4 linked regions of the Mus musculus genome follow. The protein of the gene in region 1 purifies or fractionates together with the protein of each later gene. This does not show direct contact. Links are inferred from orthologs where the notes say so. Each region holds a gene or a part of one and is shown in the gene's direction. Other genes may lie near its edges.

Region 1 (3,940 bases):
ATGGTGACTGAGAACAGGAGGGTCTGGGAATTAGAGTGTCCCGGGTCTTGGAGGAAGTGCCTCCACCCACCAATCTATTCTCTTCCACCAACGGATGGGACAGGACGGGACGCGGCAGGCAGGGGCCCGATGAGAACACAGCTACCACAGAGGGCATTCTTCGAGGTTTCCACATGCTCTCTCAGGGAGCTGTACCTGGAAGCAACTTTAGGTGTAGGCTTAGGAGGGAGCGAAGGACTCTTTGCACAGAATCAACTAGGAGCTTGTTTCTCACTGGGACAAACCCAGAGAAACTGTTGTTGAAATTTGGAGATTGAGGCATCCAGTAGCACCCAGAGACAGGCCGAGTTTGAGAGGCAGCACCTAGGTTAAGACAGATCAGCTCGGTGGGGTCTCCAGCCGCTTCCTTGCACCCCTATCCCGGCTTCCTAATGTCCAGAACTCCAGGTCTATCTAAGCACACGGAGGTGGGGGGTGAGAGCAGGTCAGCGCCAAGCAGCCGGGTCAGCTCTGAGGCCTGAGGGGAAAGAGGGGGAGGGGCGCTGAGGGGCTGGGGGAGGGGGAGGGCTCATCCATTTCTCCCTTGACAGGTGGTTTGTGTTTCTGATTGGACAGCGCCACCAGGCTCACACCTCCCTCCCCCAACTCTCTGGAATGTATAATTATCTGCCCGGGGGGTGGGGGTGGTGTGTGTGTGTGTGTGTGTGTGTGTGTGTGTGTGTGTGTGTGTGTGTGTGTGTGGTCACGTGGTTATAAAACTACCCCCCCCCCGTTCCCCCCCACCTGTGTCCGCTTTGGATGCCCGCATTGAGTCCTCAAAGTGCAGGATCCCAAATTCTGGGGTACTGAAGACTTCCAGTGCAAAAGATCCCCATCTCCAGATGTGTGTATGTGGAGGGGGTGTCAAATCTCAAGGTTCTGGGAAGGGACACCCCAGAGGTGTCAGAGACCAGAGCAGTGGGGGAGGGCCGAAGCCAGAGCCAGAGGGAAAGGGAGGGGTAAGGAGAGAGGGGAGGGGAGGGGGCTGCCCGCGGGGGGTTGGGTCATTGTCTTTTAGAATTTGGGAGCCTTTGAAAAGCCGTGGGCCCTCCCACCGCTATTGTGCGGGGGAAGATGTAGCAGCCTCTTCTCCGAACCACCCCTTTGCCTCCGGACTTCTCTGGGGCCAGCAGCCGCCCGACCTGGGGCCCGGGGCCACGGGCTCAGCAGACGACCATGGGCTCGGTGTCCAACCAGCAGTTTGCAGGTTCGAGCTTGCGATTCAGCGGGCACACCTTAGGGTGCAGGGAGCCCAATGTCTAAATAGAAGGGAGGTGGGAAAGTGTCCCACGGACTTGTCCGCGGGACCCCCAAGTCCCTATGGCCTCCTGCTTCTGGGGGCCATCTCTGGACTAGGGAACCCTGGTGTTCCAGTGGCTTGTACACCGAGCCCGTGGGGGCGGAGGGAGAGAAGAGGAGGGGCCTGTCCCTCCGCGTGTGCACGGGCAACTTGTTGTGGGAAGACAAGCAAAACTTTTGGGGCGTCAGCATCCTCTGTGTAAGCTTGGGGAGGCAGCCAGGACAGGTTTCTTCTTACCAGCTGCTTGGTAGCTGCCTCCTCCTGGGTGTCTATCCGCGGGCTGACCACCGAGATCTCCCAGACGGGTCCCTGAGAGGGCCTGCGATCCCTTGGCCCCCAGCTGATCACCTGGCCCTCCCTATCTCCAGGTGGCTGCGCCAAGGCAGCGGAGAAGGCGCCAGAGGAGGCGCCGCCTGACGCGGCCCGAGCGGCAGACGAGCCGCAGCTGCTGCACGGGGCCGGCATCTGTAAGTGGTTCAACGTGCGCATGGGGTTCGGCTTCCTGTCTATGACCGCCCGCGCTGGGGTCGCGCTCGACCCCCCGGTGGACGTCTTTGTGCACCAGGTGAGACTCATTCTGGAACTTTGCTAGGGGAAAAAAAAGAAAAAGGCTGGGAGTTCCGAGGTACGGCCTTGGCTGGTGGCCCCTCCTGTCGGATTGGAGGAGATAAATACCCCTCATTGTGCGTCCCCATATTTTTCGGGACACCCCAGTTTTGAGTTTGTAGTAACTGCAGTTGTGCGAGGAGGCACTGCTGACTACCAGCACCCCCTCCCCGCCCCCTTCCGGGAACCCCTCCGGCTTACCACGTGTCTATTACCTCTTTCCCCTGGGAAGGGAGCAGGGGGCAGGGAGGTGACCCCATGTGGCAGAAACTAAGGTTGTATTGTGCTTGCCGGTGGGGGAGGGCCAGCAGGCCGACCAGGGAAGCACATGCAGGGCCTGAGCCGGGCGTTAGCGCCCTGAGTTCTAAAGGTCTGAGTCTAATTCATAGGGAGGAGAGAGTGTGAGCCATTTGCTACCCAACCTACGGGCGTGAACCTGCGACGTCAGGTTCTTCCCGTTTCAATGCAGACCTCAAGTCAGGTGGCCACCCAAAGCCAGGTCCTGTAGCCAGTGTAGGTTTGGCAGGTCCCGGAAGGATCAACGTGTGAGCTGAAAAGCTCCCCTAGAGGTCTGGCTACAGATCAGGGCTGGCAGGCACCTCTAGCTGTCCACCCGGTTCTGCCAGGAAGGAAGACCTTAAGATCCCAGGCCTTCATTCCTTGGCCGTGGCAATCCCAAGTTCGCAGTTAAAGAAGGGCTACACAGTAGGGAGTGAAATTCAGTGTCGAGGGGGCAGGCGGTAGAGGAAGACTGGCCTCTGGCCCTATTCTCCTCAGCTTGGCATTTATGGCCCCAGACAGCCATTGATTGCTGTCCCTAACATTCCTAACCCTAAACAAGGAAGAGAGTAGAGCCTTCAGGTTTCCCTCTTCCCGGCCATTCCCTTTCTTAATATCCTACCGGGGGCGGGGTGTGTGTGTGGGGGAGTGGTACCATTCCACGCTGGAAAGGAAGTTACTGCTCCTGCCCTTTTCCACATTTGGTGGGTTAAGGCTGGGCCAGGAAAGAAGAAAATTGCTAATCCCTGGCCTGCGAGCTTGACACCCGGGCCGGGCAGGGAGGGGTTACTTCAGGGAGGTTAGCTTTAGGAGCTGTGGGGGAGGGGAAAGGAGGATGTGGGGATTAAGGGTTGGAGCCTGAGGGATGGCGTTCTTGAGGGGGAGGGGTGGGGAAGGAGATGCTGGGTGGACTGGTTGGGGGCTGCTGGGAAGGCTGAACCCTGCCCTCCAGTCAGAGGTTGGGGAGTGGAAACTAAGTAGATTTGGGTTGATGGAATTTGAGGACCAGCTCTTTGCTGTTGGTGTCCTAGGGTCACTAGGCTTCTGGAATATGTGTTTTGTTTCTTTTTTAAGGGACCTGGAACAGTACCTTTAACTTTTCTGCACCGCCCCCCCCCATCACCATCACCAGACTGCTGGTTTCTGGATGGTGGCTTTGTGCCCCCCATCTCATTTGCATATGTGAATGATAACCCACAGGAAGTAATTGTGAGGCAGAAGGGAATTGGCCTCTTTAGATCTATTAAATCACTTTATTGCAGGAACCCGCACTGAATGGCCCTCCTCAGCGGGGGGCAAGCCTCCCCGATTCGGCCATTTATCTGATCCCAGAGATGAAAATTTCCTGGGCTCGAGATGGTTTGGGGAACTTCTTCAATTTTTGGAGGCTGGGGTGTAAAGGTGGCTTGAGCACTTTCCTGACTCCTTGCAAAGGCTAAGTAGGGAGGTGCCCGGGAGAATAGGTACCTTCTGATCTGAGGTTCATTGCTGTTGGGACAAATGGAGACGCTGTGCCTCCTCACTTAGGAGCCATACCAACTGGGAAGCTATAGGACATCTCAGGAGGCAGCCTTCAGTACAGACTGGCTTGGAGACCTGCCTGCGTTCGTTCGTGGGCTTTGACTTTGGTTTCTTTGGGGTTTTTTTGTTTTTGTTTTGTTTTGTTTTTGAGACGAGGCTGGTGGTGGTGGAGGTGTCTCACTGTGTAACTGTGGC
Region 2 (3,938 bases), on another chromosome or scaffold:
AACTCATGTTCTCAGAGTTCTTTTCCACAGCTTCAAGGGCGGTCCTGAAGGTCTCAGCATTTACCATTTTTGTTGAGGAACACAGAACATAGTCTCCCCTCTTGGACGCATACTGTTTCTAACTATCATAGAGTCATTAACTTTAGCAGGGAGAGCGTTCCCCTAAAGGGGAACATGAAAACATGTAATTATTATTATACAAAGAAGCCTCACACCTGCAGCAACTGTCAACACTTGTGAAGGCCCACACCCCACTGGCTCCACTCCAGGAGTGGAAACCCTGTCATACTGTCCCTTCTGAAGCTAGTCTTCACTCTTCACATGGCTTCTAGCCCTGTTCATAGGGCAAATGATACTAATTTTGTTTTTTCTGTTAGCACCATGCTTTTTCCTCTTCCTCCAGGAAGAGATTCATAGGATTTCCCAAGTAACAGTCAACCAAATGCTCCCACACTCCTACCTCCCAATGAGCAGGACCCCGCCGACTCCGCCGACTCCGGACTCTCCCACCCCAGGCTGTCCCTTTTCAGCAGGAAGTAGCCAGATCTGAATCGTTGCCCCTATACTCAAAGAGGTTGGGATGTTAGGCTGGAACCCCTCATTTCCTGAGCAAGCAGGAAAACTCAGTCTGCCCTCCTTCTCCCAACCCCTCCTCCCTTGAAGAAAACTCCTGCTAACATATCACTCTTCTCCCCAGCTATCATTCATCTCCCAGCAACCCACCCAAAAGTGCCTGCCCAGGGACTTAGTTTTTGACCATGTATGGATACCATTCCTCCCCTAAACTCTATAAAACCCCCTTGCTTTAGCCCAGATGTGTAACTTCGCTGACCTCCACCTGTGAGATCGGTGACTCACATGAGAACTGCCTCCTAATAAACCTGCCTTTACCTACTTTTAATCGGGTCTAATCTGGTTTATTATGTGTGCCACTAAGAGGGAGAAAATGCCTATCATGTACATTGGAAAGTGTTGATTAGGTTATCAAAATTGGTGGGGAAAAAATGTGATGAGATCTGGGGGCCGCCATTTCTTTTGCTATTTCACAGAAGCCACTCAAAAGAGGAGCGAGATTGTAGCGAAGCCCTCACAGTGCGCGCAGGAAGCACTGCTCCTGGAATGCAGTTGAAGCCTGCTTGAGAAATGCCAAACCCTCGAGAGCGGTAGGGCGGGCGCTCGTCCGCAGAGGGGAGGCGAGCCGGGGTCAAGACGAGCCGTCTCCGGCCGGCACGAATTCCCGCACGCAAGACTTCCAAGAGGGCGGAAGCCAGAAGCGTCGGGTTTCAGAGCGGGGGCGGGGAGTCGCCCACGCAGCCCGCGGCCCTCATCCCTCATCCCGAGCGGGAGCGCGCCATGGGCACCTCGGACCGCGGGAACGAGTGGAGGATGCTGGGAAAGAGGTAACATGGCCACCGGCGGCGGAGCGGAGGAGGAGTCACAGCGGGGCCGGCCTCAGCTCCCGCTCCCCGCGCGACCCGTGGCCCGCGTCGAGGAACCCGAGGGCGTCCGCGAGAAGATGGGCTGGGCCCAGGTGGTCAAGAACCTGGCGGAGAAGAAGGGCGACTTCCGCGAGCCGCGGCGGCGCGACGAAACTGGCAGCGGTGCAAGTGGCGGGCTCGGCAGCCCCGGGGGCCTGGCCACCCCGAACCCCGGCGACTTCCCACCCGCCGCTCGCGGGGACCCAAAGGGCCGCCGCAGAGACCCTACGGGTGAGGCGTCAGACGCTTACAGGAAAAAGAGCGCGAGCGGCGCGGGAGACCCGAGTCGAAGGAAGAAGGCCGAGGTGACGGCGGCCATGGCGACCCCCGCCAGGCCCGGCACGACCGAAGATGCCACCGAGCGACCGCTCCAGGACGAGCCACCGGCTGCCGGCCCGGGTAAGGGCCGCTTCCTCGTGCGCATCTGTTTCCAGGGAGACGAAAGTGCCTGTCCGACCCGGGACTTCGTGGTGGGCGCGCTCATCCTGCGCTCCATCGGCATGGACCCTGACGACATCTACGCGGTCATTCAGATCCCCGGCAGCCGCGAGTTCGACGTGAGTTTCCGATCCGCCGAAAAGCTAGCCCTGTTTCTCCGCGTCTACGAGGAGAAGCGAGAGCTGGAGGACTGCTGGGAGAACTTTGTGGTTTTGGGGCGGAGCAGGTCCAGCCTGAAGACCCTCTTCATCCTCTTCCGGAACGAGACCGTGGACGTGGAGGACATCGTGACCTGGCTCAAGCGCCACTGCGACGTGCTGGCCGTGCCCGTGAAAGTGACCGACAGGTTCGGGATCTGGACCGGGGAGTACAAGTGCGAGATCGAGCTGCGCCAGGGGGAGGGCGGAGTGAGGCACCTGCCCGGGGCCTTCTTCTTGGGAGCGGAGAGGGGCTACAGCTGGTACAAGGGGCAGCCCAAGACGTGCTTTAAGTGTGGTTCCCGGACCCACATGAGCGGCACCTGCACGCAGGACAGGTGTTTCAGGTGCGGGGAAGAGGGGCACCTGAGCCCTTACTGCCGGAAGGTCATCGTGTGCAACCTCTGTGGCAAAAGAGGACACGCCTTTGCCCAGTGTCCCAAAGCAGTTCACAATTCCGTGACAGCTCAGCTCACCAGCGTGGCGGGGCACTGAAGGCGCGACTGCCTGCCAGGGTGAATACACTGCCAGCTTACCCCTCCCTTAAGTGCCAAAACTTTTTTTTTAACCTTTTTTTTTTTAATCGTTTTGAATGGAGATATTTCTAAAACCTACCAGAGACGTTCTCTCTATGCCTTTTTTAAACCGCGTGTGCTCCTTTTTGGCATGTTTGAAATGGTGAATTTTTGCCCGTAAGAACTATTCAGAACCATTGCATACAGATATATTTTTTTTCTCCCGGTTTGTATTTGTTTTTGGTACTTTCGTCTACTCCCCTCCCCACTCTACTTTTTATTTTACTACCTCCCTCCTCATACATTTAATCCTTAAAAGGTTTTAGCCCTTTGGGCCGCCTTGGTCATTATGCCTCCAGCCCAGGGTACTGGGCCCAACGCGGGATAGACACTCTTATCAAGTCTTTCATTGAATCAAAACGGTATCGACTGGCTTCTGTCAAAAGTGTCTACCTTTTGCAACTCTCTGCTGGGCCCTTTTTATTTGCTGCTTCTCTGTGGTATCAGACTTTGTGAAAACAGTGTTGCTAGAAGTGTGTATTCTGAATAAGCTCTGAATGGTGGCCAAGGGCCTCTCGTGGCAAAAAAAAAAAAAAAAAAAAATGTCCCTCCATTGTGACAGCTCCATGTGGTGGCTAAGAAGCCGAGTTTCTACAAGATCACAGAGCCTAGGCTTCCCTGCTGGAAAAGACCCAAGAGGTGGTTTTTGTTGAGTTTGGGAGGCGGGTTGCTTTTGGTTTTGTGTTTTGAGACAGGGTCTCAGTGTGTCTCCCGTAGGCCGGCTTGGACCGGCTGCATTCAGAGAACAGGCTAGCTGCAAACGTGCAGTAACTCTCCCTCCCGACTCTTGCCTTTGCCTCCCCGGACGGTGTTTTAAACTAACCTTTTGGTTTTCCAGCAGATAAAGTGAACCCAGAGAAGTTAAATTACAGGGACAAAGTACACAGCGCGGTGCCTCAGATAGCCCACAGTAGAGTCCCCTGACCCCAAGCCCGGTGCTCATCCCACTACCTCTCACACTTCACAACAATCTCCTCGACACTGCTGGGCCCAAAGTCCGCTCTCCACCGTGCGGACCCCAGCAGTGTGGAGAAATCATCCCGAAAGAGCCCAGAAAGCTCGCCCTGCTGCTTGGGAGCTAGGGAAGGAAGGGGCCAGGAGCACTCCAGGCTGCTTGCATCAGCCCTCGGAGTACCACATCTTGAATGTTCCAGGGCCATCCCTTTCCACTATCACTGTCACCAGTGAGAAACGGTTCCCCTCAGTAAAGAAACTTAGCAGACGTTTACATTTGCACCTCTGCCTCAGCC
Region 3 (4,257 bases), on another chromosome or scaffold:
TATTATGCTGTCAACTTAAAAAAAATAACAAGGGCTTGGAAGAAGTTGAAGTGAGGCCAACAGCCTCTTTCCAGTGAAAGGAACCCAGACCCACACACCCATGTGTGAAAAGCACTCTTTGAAAGAAGCTCGAAGCTCATAACCATTCAAACATAATACTAACTACATTTGATTCTCAAAGAGACTGGAATGGGTGCACCATTATGAGGCATCAGTTTGCATACAGAGAATTTCCCTTAAAATTTGTTCAAAACATAGTCGAATCCAGTGGTTACCAACCTTCCTAATGCTGCAACTCTTCAGTATAGTTCTGCATGTTTCTGTGATCCCTGAACCACAAAATCATTTCGTTATTACGTCCAACTTTGCTACTGTTATGAATTATAATGTCTATATACATGTGCGTTCTGATGGTCTTAGACGACCCCTGTGAAAGGTAGTTTGACCCTCTAAGGAGTCACAATCCACAGGTTGAAAACCACCGATCTAAGCACCTGAAGTATTGTTCTCAGTTTTACTAGGCATATGCGGGTACTCCTCTTTCCTTTATCTGGCTTATTGACCCATGTGCTTATTAAATATTTCCTGGAGGTTGGGGAGAGCATGGTCCAGAAGGAGAGGTCCTAGTGTGTTTTCAGACCCTGGTTACATCTCTTCACATCTTAGCATCTAATTTAGTGAATATATTTTTGTGCTAATATTTTTTTGCTGTTTTTACTGACTATATTCTAAGCCTTTTAAAGCTATGATGTAAGAATAATAAACAATAAAGTTTTGGTAATAGCTCCCTCCAGCCCCCACCAAAAAACCCCAAACATTTGAATGCTGAAGACCGGTGTGGTGGTACACACCTTTAATCCCAGATTCTGGAGTCATAAGCAGGAAGATCACTATGACGTTGAGGCCAGCCAGGTCTACATAGCATGTTCCAGGCTAGTGAAGGATACACAGTGGCCTCGATTCATAAACCCAAAATAAACAAAACAAGCAAGCAAACAAATAAATAAAAATAGAACAGAAAAGTCTTTTAAAACCAATCTGGAAGTTGAGAGATTTAAAATGCAAAACTCATGGTAGGTTTTCAAATGGGCTAAAGAGTGGTAGCAAAGTTTGGGTAGATTTTTGATACAATTCGCCATTTTCATTAGATTTCTAATCCCCCTCAAATAAGAATTTTAATAATTTCCCCTCCCTTCTCTCCCTCACCCTCACCCACCTCTCTTCTCTCTCCTCTCCTTCGCTCCCTTTCTCTCCCTTTCCTTCCCTTCCCCTCTCAAAAAAGAAGTTCCCACAGGGCTATACAAGTAGCTACAATTTAGAGCTTGATACAAGAAAACTACCATTCCCAGCGTGCAACACCGAGGTTGCAATGCATCCTGGGAAGGAAGTGTCACGCTCCCCCCCGTCCCCGCCCCATCGGCTTCCTGTTCGTCAGAGCAGAGACCACGCAGGTCTCATAGGGATTATCCGGAACTCGTTTTGCCTTTTACACATTGTAGCCGGCGGGATCTTAAAGAACAGTTCCACTTCCGGGGCCGCCGGAAGCAGTTTTGCGATGGCAACTTCTGCGGAGGCGCCTGCCAAAGAAGCTCAAAAACGTGACTCTCAGCCGCAGAAACAGAAGCGTGAGACCCAAGGTGAGGCAGTGCGAGACCCGAAGCCCGGAGCTGGCGGATCTCGAAGCATCTTTGTCTCTTTCTTTGGCCGCGCACTTGGGTTGAGCCTCTTTTAGGCTGTGCAGTGCCTGCGGTAGCCGGGGTAGCCGAGGGTTGCGGGTGTTGATGGCTGCGCCGGCCACGTGCAGCTAACGCAGTGTTTTTGCCAGCGACCGTCCCTGGCAAGTGTACCCGATGCGCCTTCTGTCCCCGGTAAAAGTGTGAGGACTCAGAGATTGTGGAAGGCGCGGCAGTTCTGCCTTGAGCTTTGGGGAGGGGAGGTTGAGAGGATGCGGATCAGGATCAGGTGGGAGAATCTTCGTGTCCTGCGAGCGCCGATGGTGATGAGGGAGGCGGACGGGGAAAGGTGGGGACGGAGCTCAATGGGAAGTTTTGTCAGAACTTTTATCTGATTATTAAGTTGCTAAATGACACAGCTCTCAGTCTTTAGCTCTAACCCCTAGTTTGATTTTTGGCTGCTCTAGTTTGATTGCTTCTTTCCGTTTTGATGAGAGTTTGGTTTTTACCTACCTTCAATTTAAAAAGAAAAATTTTTTTCTTTTAAAAACTAAGTACGTAAAATACGGCAGGGACTATAGACACCGGTAAAAGCTTCAAACCAACGCTTGAGGAATTGACAGGATGAGTAGACCATCTTCCTCAAGTTATCCATGTGCCAATCACAGATGCTATATAGCTTCCTTTCTGGTACCCGGAGTAATTCGTTCGAGCTTTCTGTCACCTATCTACAGCTATTATGATTTTTAACAAAACGCTTCGATTTTTGTCTCCTTTTGAATCATAGGAGAATGAATGGAGCTGTGTACTCTATGTATGTTGTCTGTGTCTTTAGCTTCTGATTCTTTACGATGCTGTGTAATATTTAAATTCCGTCGTTGGCGGACATTTGAGCTCTGCCTTCAGCTTGCTCTTGTAAGCACCTTTGTGCATGTCTTCTGGTAATGCCTCAGGGTCTCTGTAGGAATTTAGGATTGGAAACTCAATTGCAGGGTATCTTCAAGTTATGCTAATGCTACCGGAAGGAGCTGTGCCAGGTTTTTTTCTGTTTTAGGAAAGGTTTGTTTACGTTCAAAGCGTGAGGGTATAGTCAACCATGGAGGGGAAACTGGGCCAGCACAACTCTAATAGTTGAGATTGCTCATCGATCTAAATTTACAGTGATTTTTTTTGTTGTTGTTGTGTTTTGATTTTGAGGTCCTGGATGTACTTATATAGCTAGACTTTCACCCTAACCTAATAAGCAAGTGATATTCTTGGTCCTAAGTGGCCTTAGTTCCCTTCCCTTTCCTCTACTAGGGTTCACACATTCTGTCTTAGGAAGGTTTAACCCTGGGCCTGAGTTTGCTTGCTTGCTTTTTGTTTTGTTTTGTTTTGTTTTGTTTTTGTTTTTGTTTTTTTTTTTTTTTTGTTTTTCGAGACAGGGTTTCTCTGTGTAGCCCTGGCTGTCCTGGAACTCACTTTGTAGACCAGGCTGGCCTCGAACTCAGAAATCCACCTGCCTCTGCCTCCCAAGTGCTGGGATTAGAGGCGTGTGCCACAACCGCCCATGTTCCCAGTTTTTATAGGATTTTAGTTTGCAGTTTTTAAAAAGAAGGTATTGGAGAATGAGTGGTTTATGAGGACCCATTGTCAGGAGTTTGAACCAGAAGTGGCAGAGTGAGTGGAAGTAGAAAGTACATTTTCTTACCTGTGGCTAATAACGTGGGCCAAGGGCCTGCCTTTCAGACCTCGGTGGTTTAAGGACAGGATGACGTTTAAGCACAGATCTCTGGGCCTCACCCCAGAGATGCAGATTCACTCTGCCTGAGATGGAGCCCCAGATGGCCTTGCCCACAAACTCCCACAGGTGTGCTGACGCTGCAAGATCAAGGATGGTTCTCTTCGGGTAGAGTTAACGTGTAGCTATTGGATTTGAGGGGTTTCTAAAGTTCTGGGACAGGGAGTTTTGAGAAGTGAAGCAGGCTCTCCAGAGGTGATCTCATAGTTGTCAGGATTTTAGGCCATTTCAGCATTTGTCCTTCTGGCCTGTCACTCCTTTTGGTTTGAATATCTTCTATAAAGTAGAAATAGTAATAGTGGCTTTCTTTTATTGATGAAAGGTGTGTATAAAGCTCTTTGGAAATCCTAAAATTGTATTACAGTGGCTGTTAATTGACATTGTACACCAGAATCCATTTTTAGGAATTTTTTACACACACAGACATGTGGGGGTGGGGGTAGGACTGTACCAAGAAAGTCAGAAAGGCTATTAATAATAAGGGATAAAAGTGATAAGGTGTTTGAACCACTTTATTGTGCAGTGAAAGTGTCTTAGTAATTGCTGTCTACCGGTGCATCCCAGTTAGAGTGGGTACAGGGAAAGCATCCTTGTGATGAGGCAACTGCAATGTATTCAGATGATCCTATTACAGCATCATGATGATGATGGGGCCGTGGTCATGATGCTGAATAATGTAACAACCAGGGATGCGGATATGAAACAATGCATTGGTGATCTTCTGAAGATGTGCATAGAGTGCGCACGTGTGTGAAGGACCATTCCATGTGATGTGTGAATTCTTTCCTCTGTAGATGAGGCGGA
Region 4 (4,207 bases), on another chromosome or scaffold:
AGAAAGAAAGAAAGAAAAAAGAATCTTCTGGAACTATCTCAGGTGAGCATGAGGGAGACAGTCCGGGCAGATACAGACTTCTATTTACTGTGAGCCACACAGAGTCCCTACAAGGTCACAATAGTCTTTGGGGATTGCAGGCCTGTGCTGCTGTTGTCTGGTTTTTACACTGAATTCTTGGACCTGAACTCAGGTGGTCCTGCTCCCATGACAAGCACATCACCATTGAGCTATCTCTGCAGCTCCAAGAGTAGGACATTATAAAGGGGCTTCACAGCAGGCAAGACAGGAGTTACAGGAAGGGCATAGGGATCAGGATACCTGCTAGGCTCAACTTCCTCCTTCCTCCTCATATAATCGTGGTGTGGTGCTTCCAGCAGTAAGAATATCCAATTAGGAAAAGTCGGAGACCCTGGCATAACAGGCTCAAAGGATCACTAAGGGCTTAGTGGCCAGCACAAACTCAGAAAGTAAATCATGCCAGTGCTGTAGATCCTGTGCCTGCTTCCAGCTTCTTTAGGCCCTGAAGTCACGTACACAAACCCACCTGACACATAATTAAACCTTTGTTTTCGAGACAGGGTTTCTCTGTATAGTCCTGGCTATCCTGAAACTCTTTGTAGACCAAATTGGTTTTGAACTTGAGATCTGTCTGCCACTGCCTCCCAAGTGTTGAGACTAAAGGCGTGCGCTACCATGCCCGGCAAAATATAAATCTTTTTTTCTTTCTAAAGGTCGATGGTATATCTCAGTGATTGCCTAACATGCAGCCAGTCCTGTCTTCCATCCCCAGTATCCTGTAACCCTGGTGTGGTGGTGGCACACGCCTGTCATCTCAGTACTTAAGAGCTAAGAGGAGGATCGGGAGTGCAAGATTATCTAAGGCTGTGTGGGGAGTTAGAGATCAGCTTGGGCTCTATGAGACCTAATATTCAAAAACCAGGAGTAAGTAATAATATAAATAAACAGAAGGGATGGGGTGTTGACGCAGCTTCCGCTTCTCCTTCCATAGAACGTCTATAGTCGCTTCAGAAGAGATGTCTTTGCTCCACGTCGGTCTGATGTGATGTTGTGGAGCCCCAATGCTCAAAATTCTTACCCAGAAGGAGCATATCGGAACAGGAGCCGAGTGAGGTGTGATTCGCCAAAACCATCACCTGCCGATCCCGCCTTCTGGATGGCGTAAAAGGATGTGAAAGACGCAGAGGCCTGGGAGTGCACGCGTTCGCAAGAACGCAGCAGAAACCCAGAGTACCGCCGGCGCAGCTTCTCACGCTCCAGCGCGTCGGGGAACAGCGGCCGGGCCGCCGCATGCGCAAAGAGGCTCACGCGCATGCGTCTCACTAGGCCATCCTTCTCTGGAGTCCTCACGCAGTCCCTTCCCGCCCTCCTCCGGTCTTCACTTCCGGTGTTTCCCAGCGACAGCCGTAAATGGCGCGCGAAGCGGCCCGCGAGGCCGTCGTAAACGTCGCCCTTCGCGCCACTTCCGGCCGGCTTCTGTGGCCGGTGCTGGTAAGCGATCGTGAGGCGGCGGAGGACGTTGCCAGTGGCTGCAGCCATGGAGATGCCGATGCCGCCAGATGGTGAGGCCGGTCCCTGAGCTGAGGTCGTTGGGTTCTTCTCGTGTGCCCCCGCCGGCCAGCCGTGCCTCCTCGCGTTGCCGGGCCAGTGACGGAGCGCGCTGCGGCCTCGCCGCTCCTCCCTCGGCCTCTCCGTGGTTCCCCGCATTCCTGGCGCGCGCTTGGCCCTAGTCAGGACCCGTACACCACCGCCTTGCAGTGGCCCGCCCCAGAGGACCCCGGCCTGGTCCCCGGGTCAGGCTGCCCCCACTGACGCCTTTTCCTCTGTTTTGCAGATCAGGAGCTTCGAAATGTCATCGATAAGCTCGCTCAGTTTGTGGCTCGCAACGGACCCGAGTTCGAGAAAATGACGATGGAGAAGCAGAAGGACAACCCTAAGTTCTCGTTTCTGTTTGGAGGCGAGTTCTACAGTTACTACAAGTGCAAGCTGGCACTGGAGCAGCAACAGCGTGAGTTCCCCTCAGGCCCTCAGCCGCCTCGGGGTTCAATGCGGGCCCCGCCGCAGCCAATTTCTTTAGAGTTGCAAGTTTCCTCTGCAGAGCAGAGCAGCCGTTCTTCTGTCCTACCCGGAGCCCTGTACCAAGATAGACTGCTGGATCTGTGTGTCATAAGGAGAGACTATCATATATTCTCTATCCAGGCTTTTGGGTCGGGAGTGGTCCCTGGGTGGTCTTTGCAGAGGCAATTGCGGATCTGCAGGAAGGTGGGAACTGTGCAAACTGTGCAGCCTTTCTGCAGGCTGAGACCATAGCTTTCTGCATTTCAGGTGCATAGATCAAAAAGCTTTCCCTTTAGTTTTTGCAACGTTTTTCTTTTCCTTTTTTTTTTTTTTTTTTTTTTGCTTTCGAGATAGGGTTTCTCTGTGTAGTCCTGACTGTTCTAGAGCTAGTTTTGTAAACTAGATTTAAACATCAAGAAAAATATGATTAAAAATAATAGAAATAATAAAAAGTTTAGAGCCAGGGATGATGGGACCACCGCTTTAATCTCAACACTTAGAAGGCAAAGGCAGGTCGATCTCTGTGAGTTTGTGGCCAACTGATTGTACAAGTTCCAGTACAGGCAAGACTACATAGACTGCCTAAAAAAAAAAAAAAAAAAAAACAAAAGAAAAAGGAAAATGAGTGAAGAAGCACAGCTGGTCTTTAAGGGCCTCACACCATATCCCAGGTTGGCCTGGCAGTATGTTATCCAGCCTAGCTTCCAGTTCAAAGCAGCCTTCCTGCATCAGCTTTTCAGCATACCCAAGCTTTGAATAGTAACAGCAGATTTTATGGTTTCTGAGAGCAGAACTCACATCTGTCATATCTAGGGTAGCTCTCTAGTCTCTGAATAAACTGTGGAAATAAGTGTCTGGACTTGCAAAGCCAATGAGTAGTCAGAGTGATAGTGGCTGAGCTACAGTCCTCTTTGATGCCAAACATACTTGGTTATACTCCAGCAATGTATTGTAGGTGGTTGATAGAAAGCTTGTAGGGCAGGCAGACTTGAGCCCATGGAGCACAGGGACTTGAAGAAGGTATGTATTCAGAGAGGAGACATCACACATGTGAACTGAGGGGTTTTTCATATGCCAAGGAGGGGTAGGACTAGAGTCTATTGATCATAAGGTTTTGGTTCCTATTCAGTTGTGGTAGAGGTTGACATCACCATCAGAGTGTCTGTGTCCTCATGCGTGTTTAGAGAGGTCATTCCTTAGCCCCAGAGCACCAAGTTCATAGCCATCCTAAAGCTGATGGCGGTTGAAACAGATTCCAGCAGTGTGTTCTAGTGGACAGACTGGAATTAGGAAAGGTGGTGATCATGAACATGGAAGTGGGAGAGGTCGAAGGTAGAGCCATTGAGGATGGGTAAGGGATGGTAAGTGAAAGGAGTTTAGACCGTGCCTTATTATATATCCCTATACAGGAAGCCTGTGCCCACCCCTGTACAGTCACTTGTTTAGGCTTTCAACTTAAAACCATACCTGGGGGTGGGTGGGTATGGGGGACTTTTGGTATAGCATTGGAAATGTAAATGAGCTAAATACCTAATAAAAAATGAAAAAAAAAAACATACCTGGAAATGGAGAATACATGTAAGCTTTGGCACATTAGGGATTGGGAGACAAGAGGACATTCTGCCAGCCATAGCACAGTAGAATGAATATATTGGACATGACAGGGACAAGGCAGGCTGAGGGTGGTGGGTGGTGGAAGTCAAGAGAGATTGGGTTTAGACACAAGGGAGATACGCAGTAGAGAGGACCTGCTTTGCTGAGGAGCTATGAGCATTGCTTAGAAGTAACAAGGCTCAGAAAGGGCTTCAGGTCAACTAAACCCAGGACTGTTCTAGAATGACATTTTGTAAGAATTGTGGTAAAGCACTAGTCAGCTGGGTGTGGTGGTACATACCTTTAATCCCTGCACTCGGGGGACAGAGGCAGGTGAATCTCTTGAGTTAAGGCTAGCTTGGTCTACAGAGAGTTTTTTTCCCTTTTTTGTTTGTTTGGTTGGTTGGTTTTCTTCTTCTTTTTTTTTTTTTTTAAAGATTTATTTATTATTATATGTAAGTACACCGTAGCTGTCTTCAGACACTCCAGAAGAGGGAGTCAGATCTTGTTACAGATGGTTGTGAGCCACCATGTG

The links. Proteins that work in one complex are often made in the same cells at the same time.
Region 2: the proteins of Lin28a (region 1) and Zcchc3 purify together in Homo sapiens (co-immunoprecipitation; 3 studies listed by BioGRID and IntAct, with this or other methods). This does not show direct contact. The link is inferred for Mus musculus from reciprocal best matches to the Homo sapiens genes LIN28A and ZCCHC3.
Region 3: the proteins of Lin28a (region 1) and Krr1 purify together in Homo sapiens (affinity purification with mass spectrometry; 3 studies listed by BioGRID and IntAct, with this or other methods). This does not show direct contact. The link is inferred for Mus musculus from reciprocal best matches to the Homo sapiens genes LIN28A and KRR1.
Region 4: the proteins of Lin28a (region 1) and Cherp purify together in Homo sapiens (co-immunoprecipitation; 3 studies listed by BioGRID and IntAct, with this or other methods). This does not show direct contact. The link is inferred for Mus musculus from reciprocal best matches to the Homo sapiens genes LIN28A and CHERP.

The regions. Positions count from the first base shown.
Region 1 is NC_000070.6:134,016,017-134,019,956, reverse strand, and holds the start of Lin28a (protein lin-28 homolog A), read left to right. Parts: upstream 1-1,140; 5' UTR 1,141-1,215; coding exon 1,216-1,246; intron 1,247-1,707; coding exon 1,708-1,904; intron 1,905-3,940. UniProt on the Homo sapiens protein: RNA-binding protein that inhibits processing of pre-let-7 miRNAs and regulates translation of mRNAs that control developmental timing, pluripotency and metabolism.
Region 2 is NC_000068.7:152,412,245-152,416,182, reverse strand, and holds the start of Zcchc3 (zinc finger CCHC domain-containing protein 3), read left to right. Parts: upstream 1-1,138; 5' UTR 1,139-1,405; coding exon 1,406-2,608; 3' UTR 2,609-3,938.
Region 3 is NC_000076.6:111,971,238-111,975,494, forward strand, and holds the start of Krr1 (KRR1 small subunit processome component homolog), read left to right. Parts: upstream 1-1,457; 5' UTR 1,458-1,555; coding exon 1,556-1,637; intron 1,638-4,247; coding exon 4,248-4,257. UniProt on the Homo sapiens protein: Part of the small subunit (SSU) processome, first precursor of the small eukaryotic ribosomal subunit.
Region 4 is NC_000074.6:72,472,434-72,476,640, reverse strand, and holds the start of Cherp (calcium homeostasis endoplasmic reticulum protein), read left to right. Parts: upstream 1-1,407; 5' UTR 1,408-1,558; coding exon 1,559-1,583; intron 1,584-1,855; coding exon 1,856-2,029; intron 2,030-4,207. UniProt on the Homo sapiens protein: Involved in calcium homeostasis, growth and proliferation.